Neodiprion lecontei: one gene and its partner. The protein of the gene in region 2 interacts with the protein of the main gene of each other region in a pairwise test. Links are inferred from orthologs where the notes say so. Each region holds a gene or a part of one and is shown on either strand. Other genes may lie near its edges. The genes, in order: nucleoside diphosphate kinase and ubiquitin-conjugating enzyme E2 variant 2.

Region 1 (4,098 bases), about 20 Mb from region 2:
ATTCAAGCGATGCATTGTTGATGATAATAATAATGAATTGTCTCGACCGTGAAAAACGTCCTCTCGCGTTCTCCGACGTCTGGTTGATATTGAATGATAATGAAGTAATAGTAAAATATAATCATTCCTCGATGTGATTGTTGTTACATTTATCAAGGCGTGCTTGCATTTTTTTTTTTTTTGTTTTTTTTTTCTTATTACATATATACACACACTTGCTCAGCTCATCGTTTATTAAAGTATGTATGTACTCAGCCGTAGCATAAAAGAAGCCCCAGACAAACACTACATATTATATCTTCGATATAAATTACAATAGGAATACCAGGCTATCAAGTGTTGAAAATATTATGTATAATAAAATAACGACGTTCTAATAAATTTCCAACACATCTTTTTTTTGGTCAAAGTGCCAAATACAAATTAAGAATAGTCGGGTGAACTGGAAACTAGACTTTACACACTTCAACTTTGTCAGAATAATAATGAATTTCAATTAAATCGAATGAAATCTTTCTAATTAAATTATTCCAACTGCAACCAAATCTTCATACCTGTTGACGAAACAAGTGATTCGGCACTGTTTTCATTCTATTGAAAAAGCGGTGAGGAAGAGGAAGCAAATGTAGATTTTCAGTTTGGAAAACTGGTACAGGTGAGGTAGATTCTTCCCCTTTTGTTTAACGTTTTTATTTTTGGACTTTTTGGGTTGTTCTTGTATGTACAGTTATAGTCGCACCCACGTATCTCCAGCAATGGGTATACTGTGAACTGAAGTAGGAAACTGGGAGGTGTGAGAATGTTACTGTTTTATTGGACGGTAATCTATTCGTAGATCCATTTCTCAGCCCAAGAAGACCAGTCGACAACGTCTTTCTTTTCCTTCTCTCCGAACCACAGTTTGATCTCCTTGTTGGCAGATTCAACTGAGTCGGATCCATGGATTATGTTGCGTCCTACCTGGATGCAGAAATCACCACGGATTGTTCCTGGTGCTGAATCCTTTGGGTTAGTTTCACCCAGCATAACGCGACCAGTTTTGACCGCATTCAGACCCTCCCAAACCTAATTGAAAGAAAGATACATGGTCAGGAACTGGCTCAAATTTCAACGCACAGAAAAAATCTTTCTGTTTTTAACGTTTCTAAGTTGAGTAACTGGTGAATGGATTTTACAACTTTTTTTATAATTACCATTGGTACGACTGGACCGGAACTCATGTACTTGACAAGACCTGGGAAGAAGGGTCTTGCAGCCAAGTCAGCGTAGTGCTGCTTGAGAAGGTCCTCCGAAGGCTGGAAAATAAATACAATGATCACGGTTAATAAGAAAATAAATTACGACGATGAGATTGAACAACCCAAGAAGTATCAGGCCTACGAATTAGAAAATCATACAAGAGGCAATAGAATTTCGATCAACTGGCGGTTTCATTGATTCTAGAACGAGATCTTGATAAATAAATTGATTATGCGCTGATCGGTTAACGACGGGTCATTTATTACTGCAAGTTTTTAGATAAAAATTGAGAAACTTTTCGACAAACTGAACAAATGTGAAAGTTTCAGGAATAGATACTGTGACTGAAAGAAGCGTCAGATATCGAGGTGAATTATCTTACTGAAAGTTCTTAAATTTTCTCACAATCCAAAATAATTTCCCCCACTAAATTTTCCTAGGTATTTCATCCTTAATCTGGATTGAAAACACAATAAAATGACTCTACTACTAATTAACCTTGGTTGCGTATCGAAGGTCGAGATTATTCCATCCAGTGTGTATACCTATGTGCAGCTGTATCGATTGCCCTGGATAATCCGATTCCATTTGATTAGATCAGAGGTTTATTGTTAGAACTATGATCTGAACGAACAGCGACAAATTGGACTAGATGGCCACGTAAGTATCGAGATCGAACAAAAATGCTCTACTTGAAAAATGCCCCTTCCGCGTCAGGCGATGCGTTTTTTTCAACCAATTATCGACATAGTCGAAGGGACATTGTCGCCGCATAAAGTTGGCTCATATGCAACACAAATACCGTAATTTGGTTACGAAATAACGAGGCAGTTAAGGGCAAATATCTCCAGTCGATACAGAGACACCTTGACCACGTGTTGCCTGACAATGATGGCCGCGATGCCAGAGATCATACAGTTCCGAGACTTACCCAGACCATCTTGAGGGCGACGAGCTTGAAGCCTTTTTGCTCAAACCGTTGGATTATCTTTCCTACAAGCCCGCGCTGCACGCCGTCGGGCTTGATCATGATGAAGGTTTGCTCTTTGTTATCGCCCATTGTTATTGTCGGTTATTTAGCAGAGGAAATTGGCAAGGCAACGGGCACAAGAGGTGAGACAAAACTTCGCCGGCGAGCCACAGGAGAGTGAGAACGGGATGACTGCTGTTGCCGTCTCGAAGCCGGGAGGATTCGCTGTTTTCAATCAGGGGCGTACAGTCCAAGGCACGTGAATCGTTTTCACCATCAGGATGGTGAAAATGCCCTCAATACGCCTCGAGCGAAATCGCTACGAAATTAAATTTCTATTCGACGTAAATTCTAAAGCAATCTAATCAGTCGTTAGTGTTTTGTTTTCCGAGTCACCAATCGATGTAACAGAATAGAAGTCCAACACCCTGCACGAAGTCTTCTCATATTCTTAAATAATTCACCCGAAACATCGAGCCATCATATCGTTCTTGCATGTCATTGCTAGACCACGCCCACAAACTGGATTTCAAAACATTTTGCAAACCTAATAATTGTCGGAAGATAACTAAGCCACGGGCCCCCGAGCTGTTAGATACGAGCCTTCTATTCACCGCCGGAAGTTGACCTGACTCCATGCTTGTCGATACTGACGTCACGTGTCGTTAGCTCGTCACTAAAGTCTCAAACCCAGGCGTACTGCAGTGCTTATAATCAGGTTTAAAACGATTACAGACTTGCTTCTGTTGACTCTGAGTAGCTTAAAGTGAAAATTAGTAATTAACGAGCTCGGACACGAACGAGAATCCGTGAAAGTGATAGTTTTAAAAAATTTTTAACCCGGTGTCTCGACCGAATTCAAAATGGCCGCCGTACAACGATCGCGTTCTTGTTCTGGCCGATGAAGTCATATATCGCGATAGATATTGTTTTCTTTTATCAATTGGCCTGTTAGCGAAGTTGCTGCGTACGTCGAGTACGTCTGTGGATAAAGTTTAATCGTGACGCGACCTTGCGGACGAAGATTCAGCCCACGAAGTATCAGCATCAAGGCTAAACGACGGACCTGGATTGTATTTTTTCCCGCGATTTACGGGATAGAGGAAATTTTCACCGTCACGAGTTTCGATGCAAGCCCAGCAGCAACAGCAAGGACACCAGCAAATTGCCGGAACAAATGTCATACTTAAAATGAATGAAATTCAGCAGTTGTCAACAGTCGGTGAGTCGAACTACTCTTTTTTTCGATGCAGGTTCCGCTGCCTCGGTGCTCCAAATTCCCTTCGATGTTGGGTCAGAAAACTCAGTGTCTAAATTCCGTACCTAAAACGAAAAACAAATAGGGAAGACATGACAACAAAAGACAATCACGGAAATTTTTTCGGGGCATATTGTTGGGTCAAAATGGCTCCGAGGTGTTCTTTCGATTTACCAATTTACCCGAATGTAGGGATAATTTAAGAATTCCTGTCTATTACTCGAGCCCACGTGACTCTGACGATATAATTCCTCGGCTATTTTGGGATAGGTAAAAGTTTTCCACCAGTTTACTAAATATATATAGATATACAAGTAGACGAGTTATGATTATATCGAATCCAAAATGGCCTCCTCTTACTCCTTGTTATAATTTTGCTGTTACTTCGGTGTGTAATTATTTGCACGAACTAAACCTGCGCAGTTTTATAGATTTCGTATGAGGGAGAAAAGACTCTGCACCTAGCCTTTCATCAATCGTTTTTCCTGTTCTTTATTTTACTCCTTACATTCCCACCACGTGGTTGCCGCAACGCGAGGAGTAATCGACTGGTTCAGTTTTTCGTAAGCCGATCACGCAGTCAGCCGTGAGCTGTACCCGTCCCGTAGAATATCCAACATGTACCCATCTG
Region 2 (4,960 bases):
TCATTCCAGTCCAATGTGTTAAGGTCATATCATCGTCGTTCTCTAAACCCCAACTAATAGTTCCATCGCCAACACCTTTTTGCCCTTGTTCTAGCTCCTCGAGTAAGCGGAAATTTCTAGGGACAACTGAAACATAAGGCGATAGCTCGTTGAGGCTGACAAATTCACATTTACAGTAAATCATTACACAGTAAGATATTTACATCCTCTTATTGGTGTTTATGTAACTGAGGATTAATAAATCTTAGCATCACTACATATTCACAAATCTTCATGGGAATATTTAAGAATTTCCAGTAACACTACGCAAAGTTGTATATCGTTTTATTAGAAAAACAGTTGGAAGCTAAAATTATGAACAACGAGATCGGGTTGAAATTGGTGTTAAGTCAACATAACAAGACTAGGGTCAAATGTGAATCATTAACTTTCAGTTATAGAAAAATGTAGTCACTGCAGTTGTGAAACAAGTACAGCTTGCTGTTTCAATAATACCGGTGATAGGGAATAAATTTGCGAAAAAAAGCAGTACCCTCACTCTCGATGTGAAGCAGTGACAAAAACATTTCAATCACTCTCTTTCAATACTGTCACAAAGCACTTAGCATAGGGTACTTTTGTAAAAGTCGAAGAGCTTGGCCATGAGTGAGGGAAGCACTCGAGCTCAAAATAGGGGAAGCGGCACTATTGTCAGAGCACATTGTACATCGTATTTTTGAAATTCTCAAGTTACAATATAGCTATTTTTTTAACATGTAAAAAACATGCAAGTAAAGTTAATCGAGGTGAATTTCAGTGAAATCGTATTTTTCACATAGAAATATGTAGCAAATGTCAGTTAGAATAACCTAATTGCTAACTCCATAGTTTTTTCACCACCAAAAGCGTACTCAGCATTGTGTTGCTTACGTTGCAGAGTAACGAGATACCTATTGTTTACCTTATTAACCAACGCTGTCGGATGTTTTAGTTACTTAATAATCCGGCAAGACATGTTACAAGGTTAACTATAGATAACTCGCTGTGCTGCAACATAAGGGAGAAAACATATGGTAAAATTTATTTATCTCAAATGATACATACATAGTTCATTTTGTTCATGAAAAAATGAATTCTCTATGGTTCATTAAAGATAAATTACTGGCTCTAGTTACCGAGCAACTCTAAAGTTGTCTTACAAAATTCTAAGCTTCTGACTTTAAACTTCAAACTTTATCTTTCTGAAACTGTTGATGATCGTGATTGATCGATTTTTTCGGTGTAATTTAAATTTCCAGTTTTCAAACTCTTTTGTGTCGAAATGAAATTTTCTCAATTTCTGACCATTTTCATAACGTATATAATACTGGGCTTATACAAGGGTAATTGTTTTACAAAACTTCTTCAGTTAGTAAGACAATTTTTTCCAAAATTAGTACACATAGAAAAATATGTGATATAATTTTTCTAAAAGTTGGTCAAGCAAGTTGGTGTCGAAAAGTTGGTTGTATATTTGTTTTAATAAATCCTCGAAACTTCAGGCCCCTTAGGGGCGATTGTGTTTATTACACTCACATTGATTAACTTCAATTGCACCATTTAAAACATTTGAGATTTTTATTTGTATTGATTTTTAAGTAGATGATACAAGAAATGCGTCTGCAAGATCATTGGATGTTTAGTCGTTTATAAGACAATGACTTAAAAATTTTGGAAGAAGTTTAAGTAAGATACATTTAGTTCTATATATAAATTTTACTGAATTTGATAGCGTCATTTGCAAGTAATTAATCCTGAAAGATAATCAGTTATATACAGGCTCTAATGGTTTGTACTATTTTAGTTTCTACATGATCAATTGAGCTTTTCATTTACAACTCTGTACAAATTACCGCCTTATATTACAATTAAAACAAACGAAACTTAGAATAATTTAAAAGTTAGACAACTTTTATTATATAGAAATTTTTATACATTATTCTCCACCAGTTGAATTGACAATGTTGTATAAATGAAAACGATATCGTCGATGGTAAATGACGTGGGTACAGATTGTAGCATTTGTAGCTTAGTTGCTAGATAAATAATTGTGCAAAATTGTAATGCAATTAAAATTTAATTAGTCAAGCATACTGGGAACTAGGTCATGCCATTTCCTATACTCTGATCTAGTTTCATACAAAAACAAACATATCCATAAAAAATAAAACTGGACGGAAGGCCACTGTGTGCCACTACGTTTTCTATAGCTCAAAAATACATGAAAATGTTAGGCACGTCGTTAATAACATATTTTAAATATCAGATAATACCTAACATTTGTCTGAAATTAAAAAGCATATCAGAAAAGTATAAGGAGAATCGGTGATTAAGATCAAGGAAATAAGACATTTGGTTATTTCCAAATATGGAACAACTAAAAGGTAACGTTACAACACTAATGCTTGCAGTTTACGATACAAGACCACAAAATAATGAAAACATGTGTAATGGAGCGGAAGATGTTTGATGCATTTTGGTGGATACCAACGATGTGGATTCTTGACATCGGAGATATACGTCAACTACGACGACACATAGAGAAGACAGATCTAAACAATTTGACGGGTTGAACTGGTAAAGTATGAGAAAGGGGGTCGTCAAATAGACGCAAATGCAAAATTATGTATATTCTTCATTCGACTATGGTTACTTACGAACTAAGGAACGATATGCAATTAGGGGACAGGGAAAAAACGTGATCTGTCAGGTGACTAGTACTCATTATTGTGGAATTAGTAATTGGTTTCAGGTGGGAATATGATTATTGGATAGTTCGTGAGACTCTAGAATGGTCAGGGAGATCATTGAAAATGTACAAGTATGAATAATGAATCACGAAAATACGTGTGGTTAATACCACGATTAATACTGACCAACACCGGCCGTGGGTACCGCCATGATCTCAAAATTTGTGCGGCTTGATAAATGTTGGTTTTACTACGGTGTACAGCAATATTTTAGCGATATAACCACGTAATATTGAGTATTGCTTTTCTTACGATAATCTCACGACAAAACCTTCCATTACCTATACCGGAGGCTGACAAAAATCAAGCTCTCAATTTCAAAGTAAACTCACGTCGCAAAACTTCGGGCAACCTCCGGGAGGTTGTCTAATTACGTTGGTTATGTGGCAAGTGGAGATAGGCGAGCTTACAATCATTATCTGGGCCGACATTTTGTCCATATGTATTGGTGATGCTACAGAACTGTAGATGGCATTACTTCACTCACCTGTGACGTTGACAGCATTCCACGATGATTTCCAGATACTAGATACTAGGTTTGTTCGTGCTAGCTACACTTTCTACACTTTCGTGGGGAGTGTACACTTGCGCGTTTGTTTTAGCGGACGTGACGTCGGATGGCGCTGTTTGTTTTACAAATGTCACTAGACTTTTGTTACACTTTGGTCGTGTTCGAAAATTGACTGACATTGCTGTCAGCAATCTTTCATCTCTCTCGCGCTTCCAAGTTCGTGGATAGCTCTGACTCTGTCCTAGGGAATTTTCAGTACTGTCAGTCAATTTACGAACACGGCCTTTGTGTACACTTTTTACACTCGGTCGAGACTAAAGCACACGAAAATAAAATAATCTCGAATATAGGTGATGAGAGAAATTAATGACATTGTAGTCAGGGCAGCTAGGTGGTCTAATGGAGTAAGTCTCCGGTAAAGCATCTCTAGATACCAAGTTCGATTCCTGACTCCGTCGTTAATTTTTCAACTCACCTGAAAATTTTCGAAATTGTACTCTTTTTAGTATAAATATTACTGTTCCAGGTTACCGCCATTGCGAGAATCTTCGGAACCGATGCTACAAACCTATATGTAGGAACCATAATCCTTGTGAGTCATAATGCACCACTCCTAAGTGCATTCAGACATCGTGTGACGACGCATGGTCTGCCCGATATATCGTGGACAGAACGCCACTGCCTATACGACGAATCCGGTCGAAGCGAATACCTAAAGAGTATAGAATAGCGTAAAGGGCAGATCGCAGCCTGCCATTCCCGGACTTCCCGGCCAGGCGCCGGACCGACATATAAGATCGCTGCTCCAGCGTTGAGCCATCGCTCCGAGGACCGATTCCGCGTACCTGTCGATAGTGACTGTATCACGGAGTATGGAGCCATAATCCACCACTCCAAGTTGAGAGTTACTGCAAGTTGTTGCTCCCCATTCGGCAACTTTGACCGGGAGGTATCCTCCTTGCTCCACACATGCTTTTGCCATAGGGTCCCCAACGATAGGCAACTAGGAAGGTAAGGTGCCGGCAACTGAAAATTTTGTGAGAGCTGGTATCAACGACGAAATCATGAGCGGAACATTACGTGTCATCTATCGGTAATTTTTGAAGATGCGTAACACAATTACAACTGATATTCGCCACAGGAGGAATGACCCAATTATAGTGGGGAATAAACGACCAATTACAGGAAGCAGGATTACCTGACGACATCAGCGAGAACGGCGAGCCAAACCCCGACCTCCATCTATTCTACGCTCATGAGATTGAGATAACTCTTTCTATCTCGCTCGTTACGTGTAGAAATTGCCTTCACTTCATTTTCCTTTCCTTCTTCTTTACTGCTATCGCTACCGTTTCTCTATCGTTTTATATGACCGTTTAGCTCCTTTCCTTTTCTATTACCTTTTTTTTCTTACTATCGATAAATTTTATTTAAATTTAAATCAGTGCATGCGTGCCCGAGTCACCGGCTAAGGTAAGGGTTCTCCCGTTGTATTGTTTCGTTACGAAGTTGCTCGTATCTTGTTTTCTTATATCTTAATTCTCTATTTTGGTTGCATCGTGTTTTGCCAGTTTCTCTGTGAATCATGGTCCGCGTCTCTGAGTTGCTGTAGACCGTCGCGTGACTGCGTGATTTCTTTGATTAATTAATTCCGTTAAATATTATTGTTGAGCGACCTCGT

What was found.
Region 1: the proteins of ubiquitin-conjugating enzyme E2 variant 2 (region 2) and nucleoside diphosphate kinase interact in a two-hybrid assay, tested with the Caenorhabditis elegans proteins (2 studies listed by BioGRID). The link is inferred for Neodiprion lecontei from reciprocal best matches to the Caenorhabditis elegans genes uev-1 and ndk-1.

Annotation. Positions count from the first base shown.
Region 1 is NC_060261.1:5,993,640-5,997,737, reverse strand, and holds nucleoside diphosphate kinase, read right to left. Parts: upstream 2,416-4,098; 5' UTR 2,300-2,415; coding exon 2,171-2,299; intron 1,296-2,170; coding exon 1,194-1,295; intron 1,066-1,193; coding exon 826-1,065; 3' UTR 675-825; downstream 1-674.
Region 2 is NC_060261.1:26,288,385-26,293,344, forward strand, and holds the start of ubiquitin-conjugating enzyme E2 variant 2, read right to left. Parts: upstream 3,150-4,960; 5' UTR 2,920-3,149; coding exon 2,895-2,919; intron 127-2,894; coding exon 1-126. UniProt on the Caenorhabditis elegans protein: Involved in protein ubiquitination, but has no ubiquitin ligase activity on its own. The uev-1-ubc-13 heterodimer catalyzes the synthesis of non-canonical poly-ubiquitin chains that are linked through Lys-63.